3 linked regions of the Saccharomyces cerevisiae S288C genome follow. The gene in region 1 interacts genetically with each later gene. Each region holds a gene or a part of one and is shown in the gene's direction. Other genes may lie near its edges.

Region 1 (3,220 bases):
CAAAACCAGATGAAAAGGGAATTACCGGTCTTTATTACTTTGATCCACGATACTATCGAATGTATCTTGTTGAACTATATCAAAGTCTTCTTAAAATATTTGGAAATCATTGCTGGTGGAAAAAAATACCTGCAAAAAGATCTTGAAAATATGTCTCTTAATGACTCTATAGCTACCGGCCAAATTAAAAATCTTGATATTTTGCAGTGTTATTCTAAATCACGATATATGACAAAACGCATGGTAAGAAAAGATTGGCCTTTCCCTGGAGACCCTAGTGGAAGCCGTGTTGTCAGAAAACTTTTCGAACTTTAACAAAAGAGTATATTTAGCTTATAGTTTTTAGAATGTTTTGTTTTCTTTTTTATTAAAGTAGTACTACTGCGCTGGAGCAGTATATATGTTGAACTATAGTCAGTCACCTATAATTTGTTTGCTGGCGCGAAGGAGAAAGAAAATTTTAATTAATTCATGAAAAGCCTTAAGAAAAAGTTTAAGAGGAAATGAGCAAATAGAAGGCAAATAGAGGGTGAAAGCATTATGGCCGACATCAATAAATATATTCCGATGGTTGACGCTATTTTGAGCGTATCCAACCCCGATGAAATAAGCCCAAAAAGGGTGAGGAAAGCCCTGCAAATTCTCTATTCAGTTAATTTGGATTCACAAAGAAAGTTAATTAATGAATTGATTCTTGAGAGGTTCGGCGATATACAAGAAAACCCAAGAGTCTTAATTCCGAAGAACGACCTCATTAGTCGGGATCAAGAACTATCTTTGAGGTTACAGAAGGAAGAAGAAAGACCCTTGAGGTCTACGAGGAAAAGGAAAGGTAAAAGTGAAAGTAAATCTAAAAGGAAGAAGAAAAAGAATGATAGTCCTGATTCCAACAGCATTTCCGTCCGCAAAGTTCTGTTGTCAGCTCCTTTACAAAAGTTTCTAGGATCTGAAGAACTGCCACGAACGCAAGTAGTGAAGATGATATGGCAGTATATCAAAGAGCATGATCTTCAAAACCCAAAAGATCGTAGAGAAATTCTATGCGATGAGAAGATGGAACCAATTTTTGGCAAAAAAATGACGATGTTTTCAATGAATAAACTCTTAACTAAGCACTTGTTTAATCCCGATGAAATTGTGAAACATGAAGAGGAACAAAAGCAAACACCCGAAAAAGAAATCAAATTGGAAAACGAATCTCTTCCCAATTTAAGCGGTTGATCTTGGCTGTAGCACTTATACAAATTTAATGATTTTTTTTCCTCTTTGATGACATGTATAAAGCACACTGCACCTACTGTATTGTACTTGAAACAGGTAAATTAACAATTAATGTAGCATTAGTAATAAATAATTTCACTTCACGGCGTTAAAGAAATACTATGGCAAATTCGATTTGAGAATTTCGTCAAATTCTGATGATATCAATTAATGGCATATTTTTTTTATTTTTTATCTGGAGAAAAAAATGTAAAAATGACAGCAGCATCAACAATGAATAAAAGCAAGTACAATAGTCGTAAAGATCTATATTAATTTCATGGCAGCACAATAATACACGTTGTTTAAATTAGTTAAAGTGTCACTCCTTGCTTATCGAAGGAACTATCGATTCCTAATTATGGCAAGGCAAGGGAACTTCTACGCGGTTAGAAAGGGCAGGGAAACTGGGATCTATAATACATGGAATGAATGTAAAAACCAAGTTGATGGTTATGGTGGTGCAATTTATAAAAAATTTAACAGCTACGAGCAAGCGAAATCTTTCCTAGGTCAACCAAATACTACATCAAACTATGGAAGTTCAACGCATGCTGGAGGGCAAGTTAGTAAACCTCATACCACTCAAAAGCGAGTTCATCGAAGGAATCGGCCACTTCATTATTCCTCCTTGACATCGTCATCAGCATGTTCATCTTTAAGCTCTGCTAATACAAATACCTTTTATTCAGTAAAGAGTAATGTTCCAAATATCGAGAGTAAAATCTTTAACAATTGGAAAGACTGTCAAGCCTATGTCAAGCATAAAAGGGGTATAACCTTCAAGAAGTTTGAAGACCAATTAGCTGCGGAAAACTTCATTAGTGGTATGAGTGCGCATGATTACAAGCTCATGAATATATCCAAAGAAAGTTTTGAATCTAAGTATAAGCTTTCTAGCAATACCATGTACAACAAGTCTATGAACGTTTACTGTGATGGTTCAAGTTTTGGAAACGGCACGTCATCTTCAAGGGCAGGTTATGGTGCATATTTTGAAGGAGCGCCAGAGGAAAATATTTCAGAACCCTTATTATCGGGAGCTCAAACTAATAATAGAGCTGAAATCGAAGCAGTATCAGAAGCTTTGAAGAAAATCTGGGAAAAGTTAACTAATGAAAAGGAAAAAGTAAATTATCAAATCAAAACTGATTCAGAGTACGTAACCAAATTATTAAATGACAGGTATATGACGTATGATAATAAAAAACTTGAAGGGCTACCTAATTCTGATTTAATTGTTCCTTTGGTGCAGAGGTTCGTTAAAGTTAAAAAGTACTATGAGTTGAATAAAGAGTGCTTCAAAAATAATGGTAAATTTCAGATTGAATGGGTAAAAGGACACGATGGTGATCCAGGAAATGAAATGGCAGATTTTCTGGCGAAGAAAGGAGCATCTAGACGATAATGCTGTTTTTTGCTTGGCTTCTTACTGGACCTGTTGTACCTGTAATAGAAATATATATTTTATATCTTTTGCATACATATACATACATCAGCTATTTGGTTTTTTAACTTACCCGATAACTATCTATAAGCGTGTCACCATGATATTTGCCTGAACCTCGTCCACAGTTGATTGTGTTTATTTTTACTTTTATTCATAGCTATTTGATTTCAGTTTCAGCTAAACGTTCAGCAAGATCATCTACTTGTACTTCTAGCAGTTCCTTTTCAAGCCTTTCCGTTTCAATTTCTTCGAGTTTTTCATCCTCGTCCTCGTCTTCCTCGTCCTCGCCTTCCTCATCTTCACTATCGACCTCTTCAAAATCGTCAACCTCTAAATCATCAAATTTGCTTTGGAGCAAATCTAAAGCATCAGAATCTTCATCTAATCTGTTACCATTTATTTCTAGCTTTTCCAATTCAGGTAAATTTCCCTTTTCCATAGCCGGTAAGAAGGATACTTCAATGGTTTCTTGAGCCATTTCATTATATTCGAATTTCAAGACATGCAAAT
Region 2 (5,424 bases), on another chromosome or scaffold:
CATCCACCAAATGCTTAGGTGACTCCATTGTAAATTTGTTGCTCATCTAGAGGTAATGACAATAGTTCAATGCTCGAAAGTGAAGAAATATTTCTTTTTTTTTTTATATAAGCCTTCTGCGCAGTCGTTTTTTTTTCAGTCGCTGTCTCACGGGGGAAAATAGTTTGAAAAAGGCGAAGAGGGGGAAAACTGTGATGTGAATACGACTTCTAAGACAGTAAATATGGACGTATGCTTATAGCTTGGAGAGTTAGTTAATATAGAGAAATATAAATAGTAGATAAGAAGTACATATGAAACAAAAAAAAAATGGCAATAAAATAACAAAAGGATCTCGAGTAGGAACATACTTCAAAGAAAGGAAAACTCATGGTTTATATATTATCCAGAATTTTTAACGTAATCGGAGATGCGACAGATATTTCAGGGTGTATGGATGAGGTCAAAACAATACTAATCACACACGCCGCGAAGCCTTCGACGGTTCGTAACCTGTCCTCATGTGTGACGCATAGGATTCTACGGTAGATCCCGAGTATGCCCGGCTGTGATTGGTAACTATGATTGCGAGTAATAAGCGATCCGGCGTCCGGTGGTATTTTCTATTTTGTTGGTGCGACCGCTTCTTCGCAGAGAATGGGTGACTTGTAAAAGGAGAGAGACACTGGAAAAACCAACAGAATACGAGCAGGAAACTAGAAAATAAAAAACTAAAAAAAAAAAAAAACAAAAAGGAAAGGAAAAATTAGTAGAAGCCGGCGACGATTGCAGAATCCAGAGGGATACCGCTGTAACAGAGAATACGGGCACCCAGACAAGTGACTGGCGCCAGACTTTGTTATTTCACCTGGACCCGAATAATAATATTAAATAGTGATAATAATAATAACATATAGCATAAATAATAATGTACAAAATAATAATAATAAATAAATAAATGGTTCACCATGGACTGTACAGGCGTTCCGGAACGCACATAGTGACAGTACAAGACCTGGTTGTGTGCCATAATGGCCGGCATGTGAAATCGCGGCTTCTGTATATGTACATATCTGTTCTTTTACCATGTCGTCCATTTTCCGTTCACTTTAGCCAACACGGCGACGTTGTGCGGAATTGATTTGAAGTCGATTTTTTCTATGGAGTATTCCCAAACTGCCCCCAAATTTTGCAAATTAGTGCGCGGGGTGAATGGGTGCGTCAGAGCATTTACTGACACCTGGCGGCATAAGCAGCGACGTATCGTGTCCAAGGCAGGCCATAGCAAGAGCGTTTGTGATTGATTTTCAAGGCGCAGATACCATTGGAACACAGTAGCGCAGAAGGTACTCCTCAAAAGAGACAGAGAGAGAAATCAGAGTCAGGGAGCTTAGTAGCTGCTGTTACCAATATTATACAATAAGTAAGGTTTGCATATGCGGAAACTTCGCACTTGAATTTTTTTTTTTTTCTTTTTTGGTAGCTTTTTGATGTTTCCAGAGGATGTGAGTCAATGAGTGGTGTGACCCCAATACCACATTTTGTTGCTGTTTTTTTTTTTTCATTGTTAATTATCACTATTTTTTTTTCTTTCTAGTATAACCCATTCGAACCTCCGTGGAGGCATTAAAAGGGAGAGTGAAAAAAAAAAAAAGAAAAGAAAAAGAAAAGATGCCGCCACATATAGAGACCTTAAAGGGATTGAAAAACTGTACGTAAATCATTGAAGGTTCTACACGTCATCCATGAAGAAAAGCATTTTCGGGAGAACGCCAAACTTCAGACATGGGTGTGCATTCATTTTGGGATATTGCAGGTCCTACGGCAAGACCGGTCAGGCTGGAATCCTTGGAAGATAAGAGAATGGCAGTAGATGCCTCCATTTGGATATATCAGTTTTTGAAAGCTGTCCGTGATCAGGAGGGGAATGCAGTGAAGAATTCTCATATTACTGGGTTCTTTAGAAGAATTTGTAAGCTATTATACTTTGGCATTAGGCCGGTATTCGTCTTTGATGGTGGTGTGCCCGTATTGAAAAGGGAAACAATACGGCAGAGGAAAGAAAGAAGACAGGGAAAACGAGAGAGTGCGAAATCCACCGCTAGGAAGCTGCTGGCTTTACAATTGCAAAACGGCTCAAACGATAACGTAAAAAACTCTACACCGAGTAGTGGCAGTAGTGTGCAGATCTTCAAACCTCAGGACGAGTGGGACTTGCCCGATATACCGGGATTCAAATACGATAAGGAAGATGCAAGAGTTAACTCTAATAAAACTTTTGAAAAACTGATGAATTCGATAAACGGTGATGGACTGGAAGACATTGATTTAGACACTATAAATCCAGCATCGGCCGAATTTGAAGAGCTGCCAAAGGCCACACAGTATTTGATATTATCGTCGTTGAGGTTGAAATCAAGACTGAGGATGGGATACTCGAAAGAACAATTGGAGACCATCTTCCCAAATAGTATGGATTTCTCAAGATTTCAAATAGACATGGTGAAAAGGAGGAATTTTTTTACTCAAAAGTTAATCAACACTACTGGGTTTCAGGATGGTGGAGCGTCTAAGCTGAACGAGGAGGTGATCAATAGGATATCCGGCCAAAAGAGTAAAGAGTACAAGTTGACTAAGACTAATAACGGGTGGATTCTTGGACTAGGGGCAAACGATGGCTCTGATGCGCAAAAAGCAATCGTAATAGACGATAAAGATGCAGGCGCTTTGGTAAAGCAGTTAGATAGTAATGCTGAGGACGGGGACGTGCTCCGATGGGATGATTTGGAAGATAATTCCTTAAAAATAGTGCGACATGAGTCTTCTAACGCGACGACAGCTCCACAGAAAAGGAGTAACCGGTCAGAAGATGAGGGATGTGACTCTGATGAATGTGAGTGGGAAGAAGTTGAACTCAAGCCCAAGAACGTCAAGTTTGTGGAAGATTTTTCTTTGAAAGCTGCAAGGTTGCCTTACATGGGCCAATCCCTAAACAACGCTGGCAGTAAATCGTTTTTGGACAAAAGACATGATCAGGCATCGCCCTCCAAGACTACTCCAACAATGAGAATTAGCAGAATCAGCGTGGAAGACGACGATGAGGATTACCTGAAACAAATTGAGGAAATTGAAATGATGGAGGCAGTGCAACTTTCTAAGATGGAAAAGAAACCTGAAGCGGACGACAAATCAAAAATCGCTAAGCCGGTAACGTCAAAAGGTACAGAGGCTCGTCCACCAATAGTACAGTATGGATTACTTGGCGCACAACCGGATAGTAAGCAACCGTATCATGTCACAAATTTGAATAGCAAATCAGAGTCGGTCATCAAAAGGACCAGCAAGACAGTTCTTTCTGAGTTTAGGCCACCGTCTCAGCAGGAGGATAAAGGGGCTATTTTAACAGAGGGGGAGCAAAACCTGAATTTTATTTCTCACAAGATACCACAGTTTGATTTTAACAATGAAAATTCCCTGCTTTTTCAAAAGAATACCGAGAGTAATGTGTCCCAAGAAGCCACGAAGGAAAAGTCTCCAATTCCTGAAATGCCGAGCTGGTTTTCTTCAACTGCTTCCCAGCAGTTGTATAATCCCTATAACACAACAAATTTCGTGGAAGATAAAAACGTAAGAAATGAACAAGAAAGTGGAGCAGAAACTACCAATAAAGGGAGTAGCTATGAACTCTTGACAGGCTTAAATGCTACGGAAATATTAGAAAGAGAAAGCGAGAAAGAGAGCTCCAATGATGAAAACAAGGACGATGACTTAGAAGTTTTATCAGAAGAACTATTTGAGGACGTTCCCACTAAATCTCAGATTTCAAAAGAAGCAGAGGATAACGATAGTAGAAAAGTCGAATCTATAAATAAGGAGCATAGAAAGCCTCTTATATTCGACTATGACTTCTCCGAAGATGAAGAAGATAACATAGTAGAAAATATGATAAAGGAACAAGAAGAGTTTGATACATTTAAAAACACGACTTTGTCCACTTCTGCTGAAAGAAACGTTGCCGAGAACGCTTTTGTGGAGGATGAATTATTCGAACAACAGATGAAGGATAAAAGAGATTCGGATGAGGTAACTATGGATATGATCAAAGAAGTGCAAGAATTACTATCGAGGTTTGGAATCCCCTATATCACTGCGCCTATGGAAGCTGAAGCACAGTGTGCGGAATTGTTACAACTAAACCTTGTCGATGGTATAATTACCGATGACAGTGATGTTTTCCTATTTGGAGGTACAAAGATCTACAAAAATATGTTCCACGAAAAGAACTATGTTGAATTTTATGATGCGGAATCTATTTTAAAATTATTGGGCTTGGATAGAAAGAATATGATTGAGTTGGCACAGCTTTTAGGGAGCGATTACACGAATGGATTGAAGGGTATGGGTCCCGTTTCAAGCATTGAAGTGATTGCAGAATTTGGAAACCTAAAAAATTTTAAAGACTGGTATAATAATGGGCAGTTTGATAAACGTAAGCAAGAAACGGAAAATAAATTTGAAAAAGACCTGAGAAAAAAACTGGTAAATAACGAAATTATCTTAGATGATGATTTTCCTAGCGTCATGGTTTATGATGCGTATATGAGACCAGAAGTCGATCACGATACCACGCCGTTTGTTTGGGGGGTACCAGATCTCGATATGCTTCGTTCATTCATGAAGACTCAACTAGGTTGGCCACACGAAAAGTCTGATGAAATTCTCATTCCCTTAATTAGAGATGTTAATAAACGCAAAAAGAAGGGGAAGCAAAAAAGGATTAATGAATTTTTTCCAAGGGAGTACATATCTGGTGATAAGAAGCTCAATACAAGTAAGAGAATTTCAACCGCAACAGGTAAACTAAAGAAAAGAAAGATGTAATAACATATACTTATGTATGATTTACTATTTATAAACATTACCTTTGTTTCTGCATGTTAACAAAGTCAACCGATCCAGGAATAGTAGATATATACGGTCCTTTTGGTATCTTTGCGTCGGTGAGGTATGACACTTTTGGCACCCACCCAAACACGCGCAACGTTATTTTTCGCCATCTTGAAGATCTCAGAATAGCAATTAGAGAATAAGACACATTCTGTCATTTTTGCATATTTCCGGGAAGATCACTCCTCTGGAATTGGGGCACACTACCCTCATATTTGTGCCAGTTCACTTCACAGGAATCGTATGAGCCAAAGCCATAAAGTATCGTAGGAAAGGAAACGAGGTGTTGATAATACGATATGAGTGATCGCAATACAAGTAACAGCCTGACCTTAAAAGAACGAATGTTAAGTGCCGGTGCTGGATCAGTACTCACTTCTTTGATTTTGACACCGATGGATGTAGTGAGAATACGGCTGCAACAGCAGCAGATGATTCCTGACTGTTCATGTGATGGGGCTGCCGAAGTGCCCAACGCCGTTAGCTCAGGCTCCAAAA
Region 3 (4,762 bases), on another chromosome or scaffold:
GTAACTAAAGCTGACGTTAGGAAATAAATATCTAAAACAAATGACAGCTATCGAACAGGCCAATTTAAGACGATTTTAGGTAAAAAAAATCCGGACCAAAGTGGCACGGCTTCTTTGTGTAAATGCCTTCCACTATTTTATTCAAGAGGTTGTAGGAAATGCCTCTCTTCAGATCTTCCAAACAATAACATTACATAACTGAACAGTGAAGGAGCATTCTGGTTTACTGTAAAAGTCTCCTCCTTGTCCCTCCTTGTTTTCCAATTAAGAAACTTTGTAGCGTCTAATTCATTGTAGTCCTGGTTCCTTGGCTTCGATCTTCTTTCAAAATACCAAAGCTTTTTTGAAAGGCAGTGTCTTAAAGATACTACGAATGTGGCTGCGTATCATATATGTATATGTATATATACAATTATATTCTATGTTTGAAAAGGTCGTTTTTCGTTCAGAACACTCGTATATCTTCGGCGGTTAGAAAAGATAGTGAAACTAAAGGAGGAGACTATAGAGACACTGCATTGTATTGAATAAACAAACAAGGCGACGACTCACTATTACAAAGTATTTTCATGGATGCAGCCCTAAATAAACCGTTGTATCTTATATCATTACGCTCAATAATCGTTAATGAAGAAGAAGGGCGGCTATTTTCGTAAATTACACTACAAACTTCAATTACATACGCAATTCTTGTCACATGCCAATGAGCACTATATCATATGCTACAAGCTCACATACACAAGGGTTATGTTTCCTTAGCGGCATATTTTTGAAAGTCAAAAAATGTGTACAACAGAGAGAAAGAGGAGGGCCGCAACAGCTTGAAGACAACAGATGAGAGCCAAGTTCGTATGTGGATTACGTCCGAAGGAATTGAACTTCCCAAGAGTAATGTGTACGGGACTGATCGAAATTCTCTCTTTTTCCTTAGAGCGTCTTTCTGCAGATCGCCACTACTATTCCTAGCGGAAGAAACAAAAGAACGAAAAAAAAAACACTAGCCTATGCAAAGGGGAATATAATCATATGGGAATACAAGGATTGTAGTACTTGCATATTGTTCCGGCCCAACCCATTTCAAGATCCAACTACTTCATGGTAGGAAGCACAGTTTTTACATTCCCGAGAAGCAGCGCCCGCTTATTGCCCCGATAGAAGCAAAAACACCGCAACTCGTGGTTACGGGGTAAGAAACCGAAAATTATTTAATCATCTACGGGGCTACGCTTTTACATAATCTCTAGAGTATTCTAGAGAATTGAGATGATTTATGTCTTTTCCCGGCTAACATGCAAGTAGAATGCGGATAAGCCTCATGGAGCGTGGTTGATTAATCGACACTCTCGGTATTCTCTTGTGTACGTACGATGTTTCTCCCGCTGATCCGATTACTAGCCGAAGACGTAAAATTGGCGCTTGATTCAATTTATGCCCTTCCCGGGAATAGTTGACCAAAGGGCAAAAAAATTCAGTCGGAGATTCCCTATTGGGCGGAATTTAGTAGATCTCTTTCCGTGCATAACGCCTGCCCGTTAGTCGTTATTTCACGTTAACATTTTCTTGGCCACTGCGCTATATAAATAAATACATATATATATGTCAAGCACAATAAAGAAACTTCCCTTAAATATTGAATAAGTAAATAATAGTTGAAAAGTGCCTTTTGTTCGAAGGATTAGAGTGTTCTTAATTTTAGTTCGTTCAACGGTCTCAAAAAAAGTGTGAACAAGTAAAGCATAGCACACATCCCAAATTACAAGGCACCCTGATTAAAAATCCAAAAATAAACCATAAGTTTTATTTTACTAAAAACATTATACGTGAAAGACAAACCGCATCAGAAGTTTCGAGGATGAATATTGCAGAAGAACCATCAGATGAAGTAATATCTAGTGGCCCCGAGGATACAGATATCTGCAGCCAGCAGACATCAGCGAGCGCAGAAGCTGGAGACCAATCAATAAAAATTGAAAGGAAAACTTCCACTGGTCTTCAACTGGAACAATTGGCCAACACAAATTTATTAACCATAAGAATAAAATGGCAGTTACAAGAAGAAGAAGATGATCACTGCAACTCTAGAATAACCGATCAAATAATGGACACAATACAGCACTACAAAGGTATCTCCGTTAACAACTCTGATACAGAAACATATGAATTTCTTCCGGATACAAGGAGGTTACAGGTTCTCGAACAAAATAAAGACATCTATCTTTACGAGCATGGAAGTCAAGAGTATGAGAAATCTTACAAAGATAACGAAGAGGAAGATGATTGGAGATACGATACCGTTTTGCAAGCACAATTCAAGTACCCCAAGTCATTAGAAAATGCATGTACAGATATCTCGGAATTACTCAAGAGCGAACCTATTGGTCAGCATATTGATAAATGGTCTATCGGTGTGAACAAGCATGCACTAACCTATCCTGGAAATATTTTTGTCGGGGGAATAGCAAAGAGCCTTTCTATTGGTGAACTAAGTTTCTTATTTTCAAAATATGGACCAATTTTATCAATGAAATTGATATATGATAAAACGAAAGGCGAACCTAACGGATACGGGTTCATCTCCTACCCCTTGGGTTCTCAAGCTTCACTTTGCATCAAGGAACTTAATGGAAGGACGGTAAATGGCTCCACACTATTTATCAACTATCACGTTGAGCGAAAGGAGAGAGAAAGAATCCATTGGGACCATGTCAAAGAAAACAACAATGATGATAATTTCAGGTGTCTCTTTATAGGCAACTTGCCTTATCACAATCCTGAAAAAGTAGAGACTTTGATTACACCTAAAGAAGTCATAGAAGTAATCAAGAAGGAGTTATCAAAAAAGTTTCCGGACTTTGATATCATTTCATATTACTTTCCGAAGAGAAGTAATACAAGAAGCAGTAGTTCAGTAAGTTTCAATGAGGAGGGGTCAGTAGAATCAAACAAATCTTCCAATAATACTAATGGAAATGCCCAAGATGAAGATATGTTGAAGGGTTATGGTTTCATCAAGCTTATCAACCATGAACAAGCACTAGCAGCCATCGAGACCTTCAATGGGTTCATGTGGCATGGAAACAGGCTCGTTGTTAATAAGGCGGTTCAACATAAAGTTTACAACAACCACAATAGCCATGACAGGCACCCTTCCATCAGTAACCACAATGATATGGAGGTTTTGGAATTTGCAAATAACCCAATGTATGATTACAATAATTATACATATGATAGATATTACTTCAACAATAATAAAAACGGGAACAGCAACGATACCTCCAATGTACGGTATTTTGATTCTGTAAGATCAACCCCTGTGGCAGAGAAAATGGATCTGTTCTATCCTCAAAGGGAATCTTTCAGTGAAGGTCGTGGTCAACGTGTGCCTAGATTCATGGGCAACAAGTTTGACATGTACCAGTACCCATCAACTTCTTACAGCTTACCTATACCAATGAGTAATCAGCAAGAATCAAACCTATATGTCAAGCACATCCCTCTTTCTTGGACAGATGAAGATTTATATGATTTCTACAAATCTTTCGGTGAAATAATCAGCGTTAAGGTCATTACTGTTGGGGGTAGTAAGAACAAGTATCGTCAACAATCGAATGATAGCTCATCAGATAATGATCTGCCAGTGGGATCATCAAGAGGTTATGGTTTTGTTTCTTTTGAAAGCCCATTAGATGCTGCTAAGGCAATTTTGAATACAGACGGGTATCAAGTGAGCAAAGATCAAGTGTTATCTGTTTCTTTCGCTCAGAAACGTGGTAATTTATCTTCAAGTGATGATGATGATCAATCCCAAACTGATAACTCATCAAAGTTCCAAAATTTTCAGCCACATAATGATTATCATAAGGCTTATCCAACAAAGTATAATAAGAAATTTATCAATGCCTTGATGACTCAGAACCAATCGCAACAGCAAGTCTCGAGGGAAAATTATTTCATACCACTGCAGTACCCTAATACCAACACAAAGCCCGTGAACAGTTACAACTTAATAAGTGCAAACCAAAATAACGCTAACTGGATGATGCCAATGTTCCCATCATTTGGGTTTATTCCACAGGTGCCGCCAGTGCCCTATATAATACCTCCGCAGAATCCTGCAGCAAATCATATTCCTATAATGGCAAACGGTAGTAATGAAGAGGAAGAATTTTCTAGTGGTGATTATTCTATGGACTACTAGATTGCATCAGGTCCATAAAATGTTTTTGTCTGCTTTTTTTTCTTCATGTATTAGTTGGTTTTTATTTTTATATTTTCATTTATCTTATTCATACTTTTTACTCCTTTTTTCTTCATTCTTTACGATCTTGGACATTCAACTAGCCTATGGTAACTTTTCTTATTACTTTGCCCCTCCTTGAGGTGAGTAAATTCTGCATCTATTTTTTTACTATGCAAAGGATAGATAAACAATTCACATGAATGTCAAAATTTTGAAAAACACTCATTATTCAAAAAGATTGCATAAAAAGATATACACTTAAAGTGCAAGATTATACCAACTTTCAGAATACGGAGAGGTTTTTAAGTGGATGAGCATTTTTTCATAACGTTCTAAAACGATATTTACAGTATTTGGTGGCTAAATGAAAAAAAGCCGTATCATGACTGTGCTAGAGAAAGTGTGGCAGTTACATAAATCAAAAGATACAATTTAGGTGCGGCCTCTATAGCCAATGCATGCTCACTGAATAGCACAACAAATTTTTGTTTGGCTAAAGCGATATCCTTTTCGACTTGCAGT

The links.
Region 2: of RNH1 (region 1) and RAD2, changing one suppresses a phenotype caused by changing the other (phenotypic suppression), as found in Saccharomyces cerevisiae (one study listed by BioGRID).
Region 3: of RNH1 (region 1) and RIE1, changing one suppresses a phenotype caused by changing the other (phenotypic suppression), as found in Saccharomyces cerevisiae (one study listed by BioGRID).

Annotation. Positions count from the first base shown.
Region 1 is NC_001145.3:738,645-741,864, forward strand, and holds RNH1 (RNA-DNA hybrid ribonuclease), read left to right. Parts: upstream 1-1,621; coding exon 1,622-2,668; downstream 2,669-3,220. Other genes in the region: FUS2 (Fus2p), read left to right, coding at 1-315; TRI1 (Tri1p), read left to right, coding at 541-1,221; GTPase-activating protein RNA1, read right to left, coding at 2,868-3,220. UniProt on the Saccharomyces cerevisiae protein: Endonuclease that specifically degrades the RNA of RNA-DNA hybrids.
Region 2 is NC_001139.9:1,007,107-1,012,530, reverse strand, and holds RAD2 (ssDNA endodeoxyribonuclease RAD2), read left to right. Parts: upstream 1-1,764; coding exon 1,765-4,860; downstream 4,861-5,424. Other genes in the region: TNA1 (Tna1p), read right to left, coding at 1-46; MTM1 (Mtm1p), read left to right, coding at 5,226-5,424. UniProt on the Saccharomyces cerevisiae protein: Single-stranded DNA endonuclease involved in excision repair of DNA damaged with UV light, bulky adducts, or cross-linking agents. Essential for the incision step of excision-repair.
Region 3 is NC_001139.9:990,612-995,373, reverse strand, and holds RIE1 (Rie1p), read left to right. Parts: upstream 1-1,852; coding exon 1,853-4,198; downstream 4,199-4,762.